Lonchura striata: one gene and its partner. The protein of the gene in region 2 interacts with the protein of the main gene of each other region in a biochemical or structural test. Links are inferred from orthologs where the notes say so. Each region holds a gene or a part of one and is shown on either strand. Other genes may lie near its edges. The genes, in order: SPEN and RBPJ.

The links.
Region 1: the proteins of RBPJ (region 2) and SPEN form a complex in vitro, tested with the Homo sapiens proteins (2 studies listed by BioGRID and IntAct). The link is inferred for Lonchura striata from reciprocal best matches to the Homo sapiens genes RBPJ and SPEN.

The regions. Positions count from the first base shown.
Region 1 is NC_134626.1:6,442,670-6,450,576, forward strand, and holds the start of SPEN (msx2-interacting protein), read left to right. Parts: upstream 1-4,804; 5' UTR 4,805-4,859; coding exon 4,860-4,942; intron 4,943-7,907. UniProt on the Homo sapiens protein: May serve as a nuclear matrix platform that organizes and integrates transcriptional responses. In osteoblasts, supports transcription activation: synergizes with RUNX2 to enhance FGFR2-mediated activation of the osteocalcin FGF-responsive element (OCFRE).
Region 2 is NC_134606.1:18,656,966-18,665,047, reverse strand, and holds the start of RBPJ (recombining binding protein suppressor of hairless), read right to left. Parts: upstream 3,031-8,082; 5' UTR 2,991-3,030; coding exon 2,971-2,990; intron 1-2,970. UniProt on the Homo sapiens protein: Transcriptional regulator that plays a central role in Notch signaling, a signaling pathway involved in cell-cell communication that regulates a broad spectrum of cell-fate determinations.

The DNA of each region.
Region 1 (7,907 bases), on a different chromosome or scaffold from region 2:
GGCAACAAATGGGTCTAAATATCAAACGGCACCAATTCTTTCTTGGAGAAAATGAGCATAAAGCAGAATGGGTAAGATATAAAATTAGGCCAATAATTCAGGCTGGTTTAAAAAGGAGATAAAAGCCTAGCTGGGAATTTGATATTCAGTTGTCATAGTGTTCTTTTCATAAATACTATCAATGAGTGAGGAAGACACGTAAATACATTTTATCCTGACAAGATGGTGGCTGGAGCTGGCTGGCTCAAACAAAGGAACACTGAGTGTTTTCTGGGGCTCTTTGCTGGGAAACATCCTGCTTTTTTACAAAAAGCAAAGGAACTGGCTGTGCCCTGGTGGTGGGGAGAACCCTCGTGTTCCCGCTCAGATCCCCATGAATCCTGGCTGATGTAGCCAGGGAGAGGTGTAATATCCCCCTTTCCCAACACGTCACACAGAGATGTTGCTGAGCCAGACCTGAGGGTAGGAAGTTACGGTCTGAGCCAACAGAGTGCTGGTTGCTGTCCTTGTTCAGTATCTAATCTTTGCTTTTTGAAACGTTTGATGAGCAGTCTCAGCAATGTGTGGCAGCTCCACCGCTCGGGAAAGGTGCTGTGTTCAAAAAGGATAAACCTGCCTTTTGAAGCATTGTGTCTGCCCACTTCTATTTATTGGTTTTTCCTCCTCAAGGAGAGGCTGCTGTGTGGACCCCAAGGATGTTTTCCACTTTTTCTGCCCTTTTTTTTCCCTTCAAACTGGAGAGCTGCTAACTTTATTAGCTCCTTATATGGCAGCCTCATTTTCTCACGCCTTTAATGGCTCTCTTTTGATCTGTCCTGTTCTTGCCTTGCTTTTCCTGACATGAACGTGGTGCTCAAGCTGAGATGGGTTTATAACCTGCTCCCTCACTAATAAATAGCCTGGCACTTTAATCCTCTCCAGGCACTGATAAGAAACATCCAAATGTTTTAACTGTGGGGCTGGCTGAGTTGTCCAGAGATAGCTGGGCTCTCAGTTACACCCCCACAGGAGTAATTTAAATTGTTCCCTGCAGTGTGTATCCCAAAGGCTGAGGGCCATCGGGTCATGGAGAACGGCTCAAGTCCCCTTGTGCTCAGCTGTTTGGCCCCCGGGAAGGGCAGCACACAGGGCAGTGCAGCCGTATCTTGCCCCTGGGTGCTCATGGCAGGACACTGGGCTGGCACAAACGTGTGTCTGTTCTGCAGACACAAGGATGGTGCTGGTCCTTTGTCACAGCCGTTCTGGCCTGCTGAGGGGAGTGTTATACCTGCTCTGTTCTTCAGCCTGGGTCTGTGTTCTTTAAAATCTTCGGCTGAGCTGGAGGATCTGGTTACAGCAGCATCGCTGGTGCAGTTGCAACTAGGAACAGCTTCCCTGCAAAGCATTTGAAGAGTATCACCATGGTCCAGAGCTTTGTTTTGCGTCACCAGCCGAGCTTTGTGCTCCTCTTCCAGCTGGCTGTTGTGTAAATGGAACCCTCCTGGCACTCATCTGAACCTTCTCCTGTCAACAGAGTCGATGGCTTTGTTTGTGACAGCTCCCAGCCCCTGCATGTCCTGTGAGATGGCCGGGTGACAGCAGTGACTCCGTGTGAGATTCCCTGGAAGGACCTGGGAGCTGCTGTGCTTTACTTGTGTCCCTCAGAGATGCCACCCCAGCAGGAGAAAGAAGAGCTGGGATTGCAGTTGTAGCAAGTACACTCCATCAGAGGGAGAATTTATCATGGAAAAGTTGTTTGGCTTTTTGGCATTTTTGGTTTGGTTTTTCCTCTCCGAAATGGAGAGCCCGTTAAAGGTAGAGACATGTACAAACTGCTCCTTGGGCTTCCCACCAGGAAATGGAAAAATGGAAAGCTGAGCCCAGTTCCACACTGGAAGCGCCGGTGGAGCGTGTTGGCAGCGCATTTTCTTTGCACACGTGGCTCCATCACACGTTTTGAATAATAGATGGTTTGCGTGCAAGGAGTTGTTGGGCTTTTTAATTAATCAGTAGATCCCAGTTTGGCAGAGCCCATCATCACTGGGGAAACTGAGGCACCGGGCTGCCAAAGGATGGGCTTGCAGCAACTGGAGTTGGGGCTAAGGCTCGGGGCCACCATGGATGGAATCCACCTGCGTCAGAGATCTGATTAAATCAGGAGATTTGCATATTTGTTAAGGCACTACAGCTCGGTGACTTTGACCAGTAGTGAGGTGGACTTATTGCCAGAAGGTTACGGTGTCCGGCTGGGTGGCAAAAAGCAGCTCTGACAAATAAAACATGGGTTTGATCAATACCAAAACATCATCAGGAGACTTTGGCCATGGAAAATACTGAAATATGGGTTTGCTCAGTGGTGAAAGCAGTGAAGGCTTTTAACACCAACACTTGTGGGTGTGTCTTTTTTCCTGACTTCAAACTGCTCAGAGTCTCACAGTACAAACTGGTTGGGCATTTTCCTTCTGGGACATAGAAATAGGGGTTTTTATCAGTGCAGTGGCATGCTTCGATGGAAAAGATCTTGTGGGTTAAAGTTCTACGTTGCAGAGCTGGGGTGTGACATGTCAGGCAACTAGAGATGAGTGATCTTGGCACTGGGCAATTTTTTCTCCCCACGTTAATTAAGGAGATGTGCCAGCTCCCATGGGGGAGCAGGAGGTGACTCCTTCCCACAGTGGGAGTTTCTCCTGTGTGGTTTTCAGAGCAGCCTGGTCTGCATTCTGTTGGAGGAAATGCCTCAGAACAACACAGCCACCCTGCTTTGGTGGAGGGAGTGTCTCAGGGTGACACATCCTCCCTGTGTCAGCGGAGGGGAGCATGTGAAGCAGCCAAGGGGTTTTGGGGATCCCCCTGCAGCCTCACTCACGGTTCCTGCTGCTCTGGCCTTGGAGCCATTGCAGACAGCAGAGCCACGGCAGCACGAGGCCTTCCCTGCCATCTCCTCAATTAACTTTTTACTTGTCTGCCTGGTGGCCATGGCTGGACGTGTGCTCATCTAGGGATAAAGGTAGGTTGTACCCCAAGATTTTGGAATCCTTACGAGATTTGGGAGAGCTGTAGGTTTGGGGGTCAGCAGGGGCCCCTGGCTGGGTGAAGCTCCTTTGAGCCGTGCCAGCAGGACCTTGCCCTCACAGTGTGACCCATTCTGTCTCTCACAGCTCCCTGTTGCAACTCCACCAGCCCAGCATGGCAAGTCTCCCAGCCCTTCCTCACAGCCCCATCACAACTTGCAGAGCCCCCATGCATTTCTCACAGCCCCTCATTACAATTCTTTCAGAGCCTCTTAAATCTCTCACAGCCCCATTACAATTTTCAAAGGCCCTGTAATGAGCCTCACAGCCCCCCAATAGGACTCTCGGAGCCCCCCGTTGTCTTACAACCCCCCATTGTGTGTCTGAGTCTCCCACTGTCACAATCGTAATTCTCTCATCCCGTTTCCCACACCCCCACCCCAATTCCCACATTTCCCACACCCCCACTCCAATTCCCTGTTCCCGTTTCCCACACCCCCACCCCAATTCCCACATTTCCCACACCCCCACCCCAATTCTCTCATCCCCCCATTTCCCACACCCCCACCCCAATTCCCCCATTTCCCACACCCCCAACTCAATTCCCCCGTTTCCCACACCCCCACCCCAAATCTCTCATCCCCCCATTTCCCACACCCCCACCCCAATTCCGTTTCCCACACCCCCAACTCAATTCCCCCGTTTCCCACACCCCCACCCCAATTCCCCCGTTTCCCACACCCCCACCCCAATTCCCACATTTCCCACACCCCCACCCCAATTCTCTCATCCCCCCATTTCCCACACCCCCACCCCAATTCCCCCATTTCCCACACCCCCAACTCAATTCCCCCGTTTCCCACACCCCCACCCCAAATCTCTCATCCCCCCATTTCCCACACCCCCACCCCAATTCCGTTTCCCACACCCCCACCCCAATTCCCACATTTCCCACACCCCCACCCCAATCCCCCCATTTCCCACACCCCCACCCCAATTCCCCGTCCCCCCATTTCCCACACCCCCACCCCAATTCCCCCGTTTCCCACACCCCCACCCCAAATCTCTCATCCCCCCGTTTCCCACACCCCCACCCCAATTCCCACATTTCCCACACCCCCACCCCAATTCCCCGTCCCCCCGTTTCCCACACCCCCACCCCAAATCTCTCATCCCCCCGTTTCCCACACCCCCACCCCAATCCCCCCATTTCCCACACCCCCACCCCAATCCCCCGTCCCCCCGTTTCCCACACCCCCACCGCCCCCGCCCGTTCCGCGCACGCGCACTCCCGCTCGCGCCCCCCCCCGCGCGGGGCGTTGCGCGCTCTCGCCCCGCCCCCCCGCCAGCCCCGCGGCGCGCGCCCCGGGGCGCAGTGCGCCTGCGCGGGGGCCCCCGTGTGGCGCTGCGCGAGGCGCGGGCAAGGGAAGGGAAAAGGGAAGGGGAGGGGGGGCGAAGCGAGCGAGCGAGCGCGGCCGGGCCGGCGGAGCAGCGGGAGCGCGGGGGGGGGAAGGAGGAGGAGGCGGCGGCGGGGGCGCCGCGCTGCCGCTGCCGGAGGAGGAGCAGGAGGAGGCAGCGGGAGCGAGCGAGCGGGCGGCGCGGCGTGGGGAGCCGGCGAGGGAGCGCAGCCGCGGCGGAGAGCGAGCCCGGCGCCCGGCAGCCGGCCCGGCGGGCAGGGGGCCCCCCCGGCGGGGATGGTGCGGTCCGGCGGCCGGTGGCGCTGAGGGCGGCCGGGCCCCGCGGCGGAAGGGGCGGAGGGCGAGGCGGAGGCGGCGGCGGGCAGCGAGCGGCGGCCGGCGGCGCGGCGCGGGGGCAGGCGGCGGCCGGGAGCCGGGGCACGGGCGGCGGGCTCGCCCCGCGCCGCGCAGCATGGTCCGGGAAACCAGGCACCTCTGGGTGGGCAACCTGCCGGAGAACGTGCGCGAGGAGAAGATCATCGAGCACTTCAAGCGGTGAGTGGCGAGCGGGGCCCGTCCGGCCCGACCCGCGGTGTGGGGAAAAACGGGGGGAAAAACGTGGGAAAGGGGGGGAGGAGTGCGCGGAGACGGCGGTTCCCGTGGAGAGGAGGAGGAAAACAGCGCTGTAAATAACCCGCGCCATGGCGGGATCGGCGGCGCGGCCGGAGCGGGGAAATACAAAAATGGCTAAAAATGGACCCGAAACGACGGAGCAGCAGCGAGTGGGGCTCGGCGGTCGTCACGGAGCGGATCCCATACCGAGGATGTCGGGAGGCAGCGCTGAGCCTGGCCGATTTATTTTCCATTCCATTCCTTTTTTTTTTTTTTTTTTTTTTTTTCCCGATTATTCAGCGCTCGGACTTTTTTCTGTTTATTTTTGCCCATTTCACTGCGTTTCCCTCCCACCTGGAGCCGTGGAGGATGCTGCGTGTCCCCCCGAGGTGCAGCGAGCTGTGGGAACCGAAGCGCCGGCAGCTGCAAAAACGTGACTCTGGGGAAAAAAAAAAAATATCACGCAAACCCACGGAGAAAACACGGGATCCTGCACGCGGGAAGCACTCTGGACTCTTTATATTGTGCTGGGTTGTTTTTTCCTTGTTTTTTTTTTTTTTTTTTAATTGCATAGGTTAATCCTGCTCATAAGGAAGTAGTAGCTGTTTGCATGGTTGGGTTTTTTTCCTCCTCCCTCCGTCTTTCCCTGCGAGGAGGAGGAGGAAGAGGCTTCTCCCCCGCCGCCTCACCAACACCTTTTTCCTGTGGAAATGCTCTCAAGTTGATGCACCCCACGCTGGAAGCTGGTTTTTAGGAAGAAAAAGAGAGCAACGAGCTCTGCTCAGCTCATGGCCCCTACAGGCGCTTCACTTTAATCCCACCAGCAGCAGAAAAAAATGGATTTTGAAGCTTCCTTTAATCTTCCTGTGCTGGAAAAATGACGGAGCCTCCTTAATAATGAGTCACCATGGGAAAAATAGATGCGGTGACACCGAGAGAGAGAAGCGAAGGTCCCAGCGCCTCTTCCCTGGTTTCTGGTCGTCTTGTTGTGGAAGGACTGGGGGTCTCGTATCCCCCTCCATCCTCCTGGCCTCAGCTGCTGTAGCAGCCAAACCCCATCTCTGCATCCTCATCGCTCTGAAATTGCCCTGTTTTAATCAAGCTTCACCTTTTTTTGCCTTTATTATCCCCCTGAGCCAAGAATTTGCCGCTTGGTGAAGGCGCGGGATGGTGGATGTATATTCAGGGTGGTTTGTCATGTCCCTCAAGTCCAGGTTCTGTGACCCAGTGCTGTTTACAAAGCCAGGTTTTGGGGGGAAAACCTCGCTCTAGGGTTATTTGGTTAATTCCAGCGGTAGCTAGCTGAGGGATTAGGTGCTCCACAGTGAAAATCTGACATTCCTAGGTTTTATTTTGTCCAGTCCTCCTCCTTTTATAAGATGTATTAAAGGAGGGAAAAAGTTGCCATGGTGCTGTTGCTTGGAGATGGATGGGAAAAATGGCAGGCGCTGAATTAATTACCTTTTTTTGGTTGTTTTGCCTGGGCAAATTACGATCAGAGGTTTGGGCAGGAGCTTTGTAGCCAGGCATTTCCCCCCGTTTTTCCCAAGTGATTTTTGCCCTGGATTTGTGTGTTTGGATGAGGCTGATCTCACGGCTGTAAACAGTTAAAACACGCTTCAGCCCTTTGGCTGCAGGTACTAAAGCAGGGGGAGGGAATGGCACGCCGCCTCCGAATGCTAGTGGGATGTAACCACTGGAATATTTGTGGCTGGAAAAGGGGTGAGGGGCTGAGCGGGGAGCCGGGTCCGAGGCTGGGTGTGTAGGTGCTGTAGGTGGACAATGGAGCGAGCCTTCCTTTGTATGCCCGTGCTCGCCTGGGGGAAGGGACAGGCGCTGCACAAGGGCTTGCACGGCGTGGTGGGTTTCTCCAGAGGGAAGGGAAAGCGGCTGCCCGGCCGTGGAGGTGGGAAGGGGAAGGCTCCCTTCTCGGAAAGGACGCTGTAGTCGGGAGAGAAGGTCTTTTCGGATGGAGCGGGGCTTGGCAGAGCCCGGTTCCCACCCATCCCCCAGCCTGGGAATAGGGCGAAGCGTGTGCGGGGAGGCTGAGCCATGGGAGCGGGGCGAGGTTTGGGGGAAAACCGCCTCAAACCTCAACTGGGCTGCGGCCGGGAATCGCCTCACCCCCGGAGCCTCTGTGCAGCTCACCCGAGTGTTTGTTTTTCCACTGGGCTTGGGAGATGCTGTCCTTCCCAGATGGAAGCCCGTTTTCGCTGGGTTGTTGCGCGGTCCCTGCTAGGCACGAGTTTGAGAAACGACCATTTTTGTTTCCAAACAAGCAAAAATTCAGGGAAAACTCCTAAAACTTACAGCTCTGCAGGAGTATGGAGGGTTTGCTGCCTCTCCTCCCCCTTCACTTAACCACCGACTGTGGGAACTTTGCTGGGATTTGCAGCCTCACAAGGAATTCTATAAAGGGATGAATTAAGAATTGTGAAGAAATATATGTTTTTATTATTTTTCCCCAAATGCTTCTGATTGGTTTGTTTAGTTTAGTGAGGTGAATGGAAGTAACACTCCCTAGTATGGATTCTTCTCTCAAATTAGAGAATACTGAAGCTGGTCTCGAGAAGCACTGGCTTACATGAGCAGTGCTATTTTTTTCCTTAGAAGCCCTTTTTAAAATCTGTTTCTCTGATATTAAAGGGGATTGCAAAGGAGAGATTTTTCCATGCAATTCAATACATTGAAATTGTCTTTTAGTTTCTTACCCAAATACTCCCTTTGCAAAAACAAATGCTCTATATTTCCTTTCAACTGAGCTGTTAAGGCACCCTGAAATAGAAATGCAGCCAGTGCCAGGATTGGAGATCCACTGTTCAGGTGGAATGAGTAGCAAATCTGAGTTATGATCTGGGAGATGTGAGCTTGGGGAAGTGGTGGGAGCAGGGGTTTGGGTTCACCTAAT
Region 2 (8,082 bases):
CTTTATGTCACTGTAAAATTATAAAATTAGTTTCATAGCACTAGAGATTTTCTTTGACCTATGGCTTTATTAGACCTAGCAGAGCAATATTCAAGCTAATGGATGCCTACAGGTGTTTTTGCAGTATAGCAATTATTTAAAAACAAGTGGCTTGCGCTCACAATATAATAAAGAAGCATGTTCATTAATTTTGTCATCTTAAAATGCTATTTCCCTAAATTGTACACAACCAAAACCAAAAATACTTCACAAAACCCAAAAAATACTATCCTATAATCCCAGCCATAAATTATCCACTTCTTTTAAACAGTAGTTGTGAATAGTAATTCCTTTTAAGTTACTTGTCTGATGTTTCTGTTTACTTTCTCACTGTATCTGGTTCTGACACTGTGCAGTTTGGCTTGTCACACTGTACATATGCACAAGTTTCATCAGAAGGCTCCTGTGAGGCAGCAGCACGAGCGTGCCACATGCTGCCAACAACAAAGCACAAACACACTCTGACTGCCCCCCAAAAGTGCTGCAGGAAATTCCTGCTATTGCATTCCAACACCGCATAAACCTATGTACCATAACTTAAGCTTAGGCACATAGTTTTCACAAGAAAGAAAAACAAAACAACTTTTTTCATTCAAGTAACACTGACTGCAAAAGAGCTATAAGTTTGAGTGCCCATGTGATGCCTAGTCAAACACAGTACAGGATTTGCATATTACATTCTTTAGTTATTGCTTTTTAAAACACTTTTTTCCCCCCGTCCAAGTAAGTTTTTACAGAACAGCCCAGAACGAAAACTTCCTATACTATTTTGAAAAAAAAAAACAACCACCTACTGCAGAATCATCAATTTTTAATTCTAATACACACAGACAACTCAGCATCAGAACCACATTCCAAAAACAGGTAATTTAATAAAAACAATTAAAAAACAGGCTCCTTCATATAATATAACTACAACATCAACAAAAGGTAGCATATTTCATTTTACCTACACTGGAAATATTTAACAATAAGAAAACAAAATTATTTTTCCAGATAATTATTTGACTTAGGGGCTTAAACAATAAAGGTAGCATAAAATCCCAAACTACAAACAATTATTTAACTCTCATTAAAATGGCATTTTTTTCTACTGTTCTGATTATTTGATCACTGTTTTTAAAATAATCCACAGTTGTTTTGTCAACATTTTAACACACATCTGAAAAGGATAAAACTAATGTCACAAACATGACATCACTTCTGACAATCCTGTAATGATCAATAAACAAAAGGAAATGGAGTCCAAATATTCAGATGAGTAAACTAATAGAAACATAGAAAAACTTAATTACTAAGTGGAGCACAGGCTAATAGTTATAGCAAACTTTAAAAGCATTTGTTCCCTTCTTTCAAGTCTAGCCTCTAAACTAGTACAATCCAGGAATCATTTACAAACAAGATTAGCTTCCCTAAAGAACATTTAATTGGGAAATTTTGTATCAGCCACAAGACACCTTCTTCAGGAAAGAAATCAAGTAAAAGCTTCAACTTATTTTTTGACAAACAAGAGTGAGGAATTGGAAACACTACTGCAGCTAATCAAAACAACAAAATACCATAATGCTACCTTCTCCACAAGAACAAAAGCATCAACCACCAACTCCACCCCACCCCCAAGCAGGCTGTTGCTCTCTAACCACAGAGCCAATGCTGTAGACAATGTAATCCCACAGGGAAGACAGAAGGTCACAGACACTGCGAAATCTTAAAATAAGTTCGGCGTTTTAGAAAGTCCTAGAAATACTTTAACGAGACAAAATTTCATTTGGAACAGGTGGAGTACAGATACAGCCTGCTCTTCTCCTGTCTCTTCCCTCAACACATAGAGGGAGGTCACACTTGCTCAGCGTAGTGCAATATTAAGGATACAGCACTTAAAAAAAGCAGCAGCAGCAGCAATCAAGATGTGGCAAGGATGGCAACGTGCAATGTGACACTGCAGGTGTGATTGCACACTGTATACCAGCAGTGGATCTGTTATTATTCATCAGCTGTAGGTGGCTAAGAGAGTGTCACTTATTACAGTGACACATGCTGCAGCTGGCTAGCCATGATTAAGTATTACCCAGTGCGGTTGAAAGGGATGGAGACTACCATTCATTATGATCCAGCGTGGCTTAGTGGCGTAGGGAGGCTGCTACCCTTCCTTGCAGCCCAGCATTTGAAGGAAGGCAGCTAAAACTCAACAAAGCCCTGGGAATGGTGTGCAGAGAGGAGAGAAAGGGAACCTCGGTCGCCCAGCCCGACGGCACGGGTGTCCCGCTAGCAGGGGCGGAGAGCCGCCCGCGCCCGGCGCGCCCGGAGCGCTCCGCCGGCAGTGACAGCGCCGGGCCGGGCCCCGGCCGGCCCTGCCGTGCGAGGGGCGCTGGGCACCGCGCTCAACTTCCAGCCGCAGCAGCAAACGCCTTTGTCCGAGCGCTCCCCGTCCGTAGCCGGGGGAGCCTGGAGGACCCACGCCTACGGCGGGACGAGCCAGGGCGAGCGAGAAGGGAGAAGAGCCCGTGCCAGCCCCAGGTCTGCTCCCAGCTGGGCTCCGCCGCTCCCCTGGGACCCCTCAGAGCGGGACCCGCTCCGAAGCAGCCGGGATGAGCACTGACCCTGCACGGAGTCCCGACCGGCGCGTCCGTGCCGGAGAGAACGAGAGCAAAGTGAGCGCCCAGCCGCGCCGGGACTGCCGCGCCGCGGGGCGGCCGGAGAGCGCGGCCGCTGCCGGGCCGGCGCCCGGGGCGCCTCCTCCGTGCGCCCACCCGGCGGGACCCCAGCCCCACGAGGTTTGCGCCGCAGGGCCCGCCCGCGGGCCGTCCGGAGGGCAGTGCCCCGTTGCTCGAGCGGCGGCCGAGGAGCGAGCGGGAGGGCGCGGCGCGGTCTCGCCCCGGCAGCCGCGGGCGGCGGCGGCTCCGGCGGGCGCCGCGAACGCCCCGCACTCACCCTGTCACAACAGGCGCCATCTTCCACAAACTCTCGCCAAAACTCCTACTCTCGCGAGAGCGCCCCCCTCCCCACGGCCCAGAGCGCGCGTGCGCGGGCCCGCGAGACACGCGCGGGGCGGGGGGGGGGCGGTGCGCGCCGCCCACTCAGCGCCCGGGCTGCTCCCTCAGACACAACAGCCCGGGCGTGGGAACCGCGCCGCTCTCGCGAGAGTGCGCCGCCGGCCGGCAGGCGGACAGCGGCGCAGGTCTCGCGAGAGCGGAGCGCGCTCCGGGGAAACCGAGGGATTCCCTCTGCCCGCTCGCGCGTCCCGCCCCCGCCGGCGCGAGGAGGGGCGGAGGGGGAGGAGCCATTCGGGGCGGGGCGGGGGGCGGGGCCGCCGCTGGCGCGCGGGGACCGGCCCGCGGCCGCCGCCGCCTGCAGCCGCGCCCCCTGCGGGGAGAGCGCGCGGGGCCGCGCGCCTCGTGCTGCCCGCGGGCGCGGCACGTGCTGAGGGGCCCGTGGGGCGGGGCTGGGCACGGGGCGCGGGGAGCTCTTCGTCTGACGGTGAATAAAGGGCGGGGGGCTGCGGTTTGGAGCCTCAGCTCTTAGGAAGACCTCTCGGGTTCCTCGCGTGGAATTGTTAACATATTTTTTTTTTTTTTTGTAGAAGTCAGTTTTACATGAGAAACCCGGTTTCATAACTTTGTTTTCATCCCCAGCTGAAGTGCGTAAGATGCGTTTGTTTAGCAAACAGAAGCAGCGGGGTCTGGCAGGGTCCCAGCCAGCTGAGCGAGCCCCGTGGCCACAGGCGGCCGAGTGCGGGCACGGGGACACGAGCGATCTGCCGCACGGGCTGTGCTCCACGTCTGATAAAGACCACAGAAAAAGACGATCCCTATTCTGGATTCATGTAACAGCACCCTTCGGGGCGCGGGTGTGATTGTCCATTAGGAGACTAAGTTTGAAAAATAATCCTTTTACATTAAGACTTCTGTCTGTTTCAACTTCGTCTGTGTTTAGTATAACACGTCAGTCTAACTCCGGGACAAATGCTACATTGATTAAAGATTGTTGAGGTTCCAAAGCCCACATCTTTTTTACTATGTTAGCTCTACGTCTGCTGTCTTCCAAATTACGGGGAAAAATAACATTTCAGTAGTCCCACGAATAAGATTTCAGATTTCTTGCCCACATATGCGCTTCACTGCTTATGCTAATTGAATGAATAATGTCTCAGATAAATAAAAACACGTTTCAAGAGATTCCTTAGTGACAAAGTTTTCTGTACGTGTCACTGTACAAACAGCTATTGTCTCCTGTCATTAAGGGACTTTCCCCATCATGATTTCCCCCTACTCATTAGATACAAGAGGACTTTGATTGGCTCCCTTGTGCGCACAGTTCTCGGCAAAAACACAATGCATACTGGAAATCTGTATTGTTTGCAAAGAGCAACTCGTAATCCGTTTGGAAATCTTTTCCTAAAAACATCTCTCTCTCTTTTTTTTTTTTTTTTTTTTTTTTTTTTTTTTTTTTTTTTTCTTCTCCCAAGGCTAAAGAATTATCTCAGCTCATGCTAACTCCATTCCGTTAAGAATAGTTTCTGGATGTTTGCCATGGACTGTCTCTAGATGGTTATTTTGTGGGGCCCCTCTTTTAGTGTGTTTTGAATCAAACTGGAAAATCTAAAAATATAGCACACAATAATCTGCAGTGTCTGGTCTCTTTTAATAATTGACAATGAAGGCACTTTGGTTAATAATCAGATTAATTGGATACTGGAGCAGGTATATTATTTAGAAGAATTAATAATCATAGAAACCATTGTAGTCCTTTCCATCACTGACAGCAGTACATTATAAAACAAATAACCATTGATTTTGTTTTCTTAAATTATAAATTATCTACAGTTCAAAAGGCCAGGAATACTATTCCAATCAAAAACAATAGCTTGAACTTCATGTGAATAGCTGGTGGAAGAAAAGATAATAACCCTAAAGGATTTTTAAATATTGTTTATGCATTGAATTTTTTTCTTGCTGCTAAAAGTTTGTATTTCACATAGATTGTGAACAGCTTCTATTGATTTTATTGGAAACAAAAGCATCCACTACCGCAGGGAACTAGACCTCACCTTCTGGCCTGTAACAAATATAAGCACTTCCAGAGCTGAGGTAGAAAAATTTAAATACCAGGTTTGCACCATTTAAATTTTTGTGTTTGCTATGTAAATTAGTAGTTTGACTTTTTGATTTAAGCTCAGCTGAGGTTGTCAAAAGGGCTCTGAATCAGGCCTGACACTTCAGAAACCATTTGGAAAATCACAGCTTGCAGGCATATTTGAAGGATGTGACTTCCACAGGTGTTGGGCCTCACCTGTGTTCCAAGCAGATGCCCTGCCAGGTGACTCCAGCTGGGTGCTCAGAATCATTAGCCACCTTCGAAAATGGAAGGCTGTTCATGCAGGAAATCCAGTTTACTCTCACTTGTCAACTGGGGGACAGGACCGCCTTGAATTTGGATTCACCAACATGTATGTTTTGTGGACAGAACCACTTGGCCAGTGCTTAGTGGATCTCAGCAGCTTCATTTTGGGAATCCATATGGTTCCCCTGTGCACTCAGTCTTGCTTTGTGTGGAAAGACGAGGAAAGACAAGGAGCCTAGCACGAGCCTACGGAATTGTTAGGATCAGGCCATTGGTGTGGGCAGGGAGGTCTTTTGGCCTGGAGTGTTGTCCCACCAATGGTGCTGCAGGACAGGAGCTGCTGGCCAGCAGTGCTCAAGAAGCCCAGCTTTGGAGGAGAAGGGCAGTCATGAGCAGGGAGCATGAGATGCAAGCTGCGATAACCAGGCCAAAAATTTCAACAGCTTGTTTGACCGGTCCAGAACAAACTTTCTCCAGCTCAGCCTTGGCTCTGGGCTTCCCATAAGCTCATTCCTTTGGGCACAACACTAGCTAATTAATATGCTTCTCATTTGGCAACTGCTTCCCACCTCATTGGTTTGGAAAAAGATGAGAAAACAAAAGACCTGCACACTTTTTTGTAGAAGCAATTCCATGTTTCTTATGTGCTTAGCACAAGCATGTGAGACATGAGCAAGGGGACAAGAGACTCTGTCTCAGATCAGCCTGTCTTACCAAAAAATATCTCACAGTGTGTCCTCTGAAATCCCAGCTATTTTAAAATTCAGTGACCTTAAAAAGCACTGTAGGTAGTGAGAACCGCAGTTATCTGGATCTCTTCATTATAAGGAGCAGGTTTATCTTGAGACGTTGTAGTTTGTAGGTGGTGTAAATCACACATTTGAGTGGTAGGTACTGTGATACAACCCTGCTGGGATTTCATAAGCACAGGATGTACAGTGTGGTTCAATCGCGTGTCTAGGAAAGCAAATAAACAGGCAGTTGCCCACAGAGCATCTCTTAGATCTGAACTGTGGTGCATGTGCCAACAAAAGTTATCGCTTAAGCTGCTCGCCAGCCAGCTCAATGTCAGAAATGTCTGCTGTTTGAAATGGATGCTGATGTTCAACACTGTTCAGGGAATTTGCAACATTGTCTTAAGGATGACAAAGAGAAAGAATACCCTAGTTAGCAGTCTGCAGCAGGAGCATTGTTAAATAGTTTTTGCTTGTGTGTTGTAGTCTCAAAGAGGATGGTAGAACAAAGAAAAAATCTGAATCCATGTCGTAATGCGGGCTCCGGTGTAAGTATACCTTGGTGTGGCAGTCCCCAGAGGCTATAGTCAAGCTTGGGCCTCATTATGGTGTTGCCTTGAAAGCAAGTACAGTCCCTTCCCAGAGTGTTCTTTTAGAGTAAAGACAAGAAGAAAAGAGTATAGCAAACATTAGGAAGGAAGAAGGGAGGGAAGATGAGGTTAACAGTAATAGCATCATATGGTTATATAGGTTAACAGTGTGAACAGCTTGATGACTGACTTCTATAACCTCTTATTTTTAAATACTTTCTAGAACAGCATGCTAAGACACTTTGCATTGTATTAAATTTTGCTCCTCACCCTACCCCAGAATAGTATCTTATTTTCCATTGGGTGAAATGTTTTGTCAGTTTGCATGTAAATTACCCTGCATACCTCCTTAGTTTTACTGGGCTCTACAAAGAGTGCACCTCTGAACCTCTCTCACTCAGCATTCCTCCACTCATGCACGATGCCTGTCCACCAGTTAAGTGTGGCACCAGGTTATTGCCTTAGCCCTGCCTCCCATGCACAGCCCTCTGCAGTGATGGCTGGTGCCATCAGTCCTCTCATCCTCAGGGTGTCCCTGCAGGTTCCACCAGACCTCAGTGAATCATTTGGAGGCTAAAATGCCATGTGGCTGCCCACCACACACCGGGTAGTGCCAGCCCCCTGCACCCCAGCATTCACAGGCAGTGGCAGAGCAGGGTTCCCCAGGCCCCACCTTGGTGGCTGTGCTGCCCTGACCTTCTGCCATGGCTAATGTGTGCACGCACCAAAGCAGTTCTAAGATTAAAGTTCTAAGATGCAGGATTACAAAGTCATTCATTACAAGGAATACAGCAAGATAAAGTGTAAAAATATCCATGTTTTCAAAACGTACAGGAGAAGATACAGCTTCTTTTCAGTTGTCTGATCTCTGTAGGACTGACTGTGAGCTGAAGACATCTAAGGAAGTTATTTGCATCCTATTGGAATCAAGAAAACAGGGAAGATTGAACTAGTTGATTAGACTATGAATTATCACAAATAATTAAAAAAAAAGGAAGATTTAAAGATTATATTACTCAAAATGTTTTATTGATTTTATTAATATATAAATAAAAATAATTTTTGCAATGCTACAGTTCTGAATTGGTATGAATACAGATTTTTTTTTGAAGGAAAACATTTTAACTAGAGGTGCTGTTGCAGTTCTGTTGTTTTCCTGATGTGTGTCAATTCACATTTACACTCAACCCCAAGCCTGTAATTTAGTGACTGAGTTAGTCTGGTCTTTAATTCATTAGGCTCTTTGAGAAAACATATGCTGACAGACTTCACCTCTGTGTGTAAGTAAAATGCGGTCTTTGAAAACAAAGAATGAAAACTCATTTGATTCTACAAAACACAAGAGAAATACACACTCTTAATTATACACATTTTTCTTA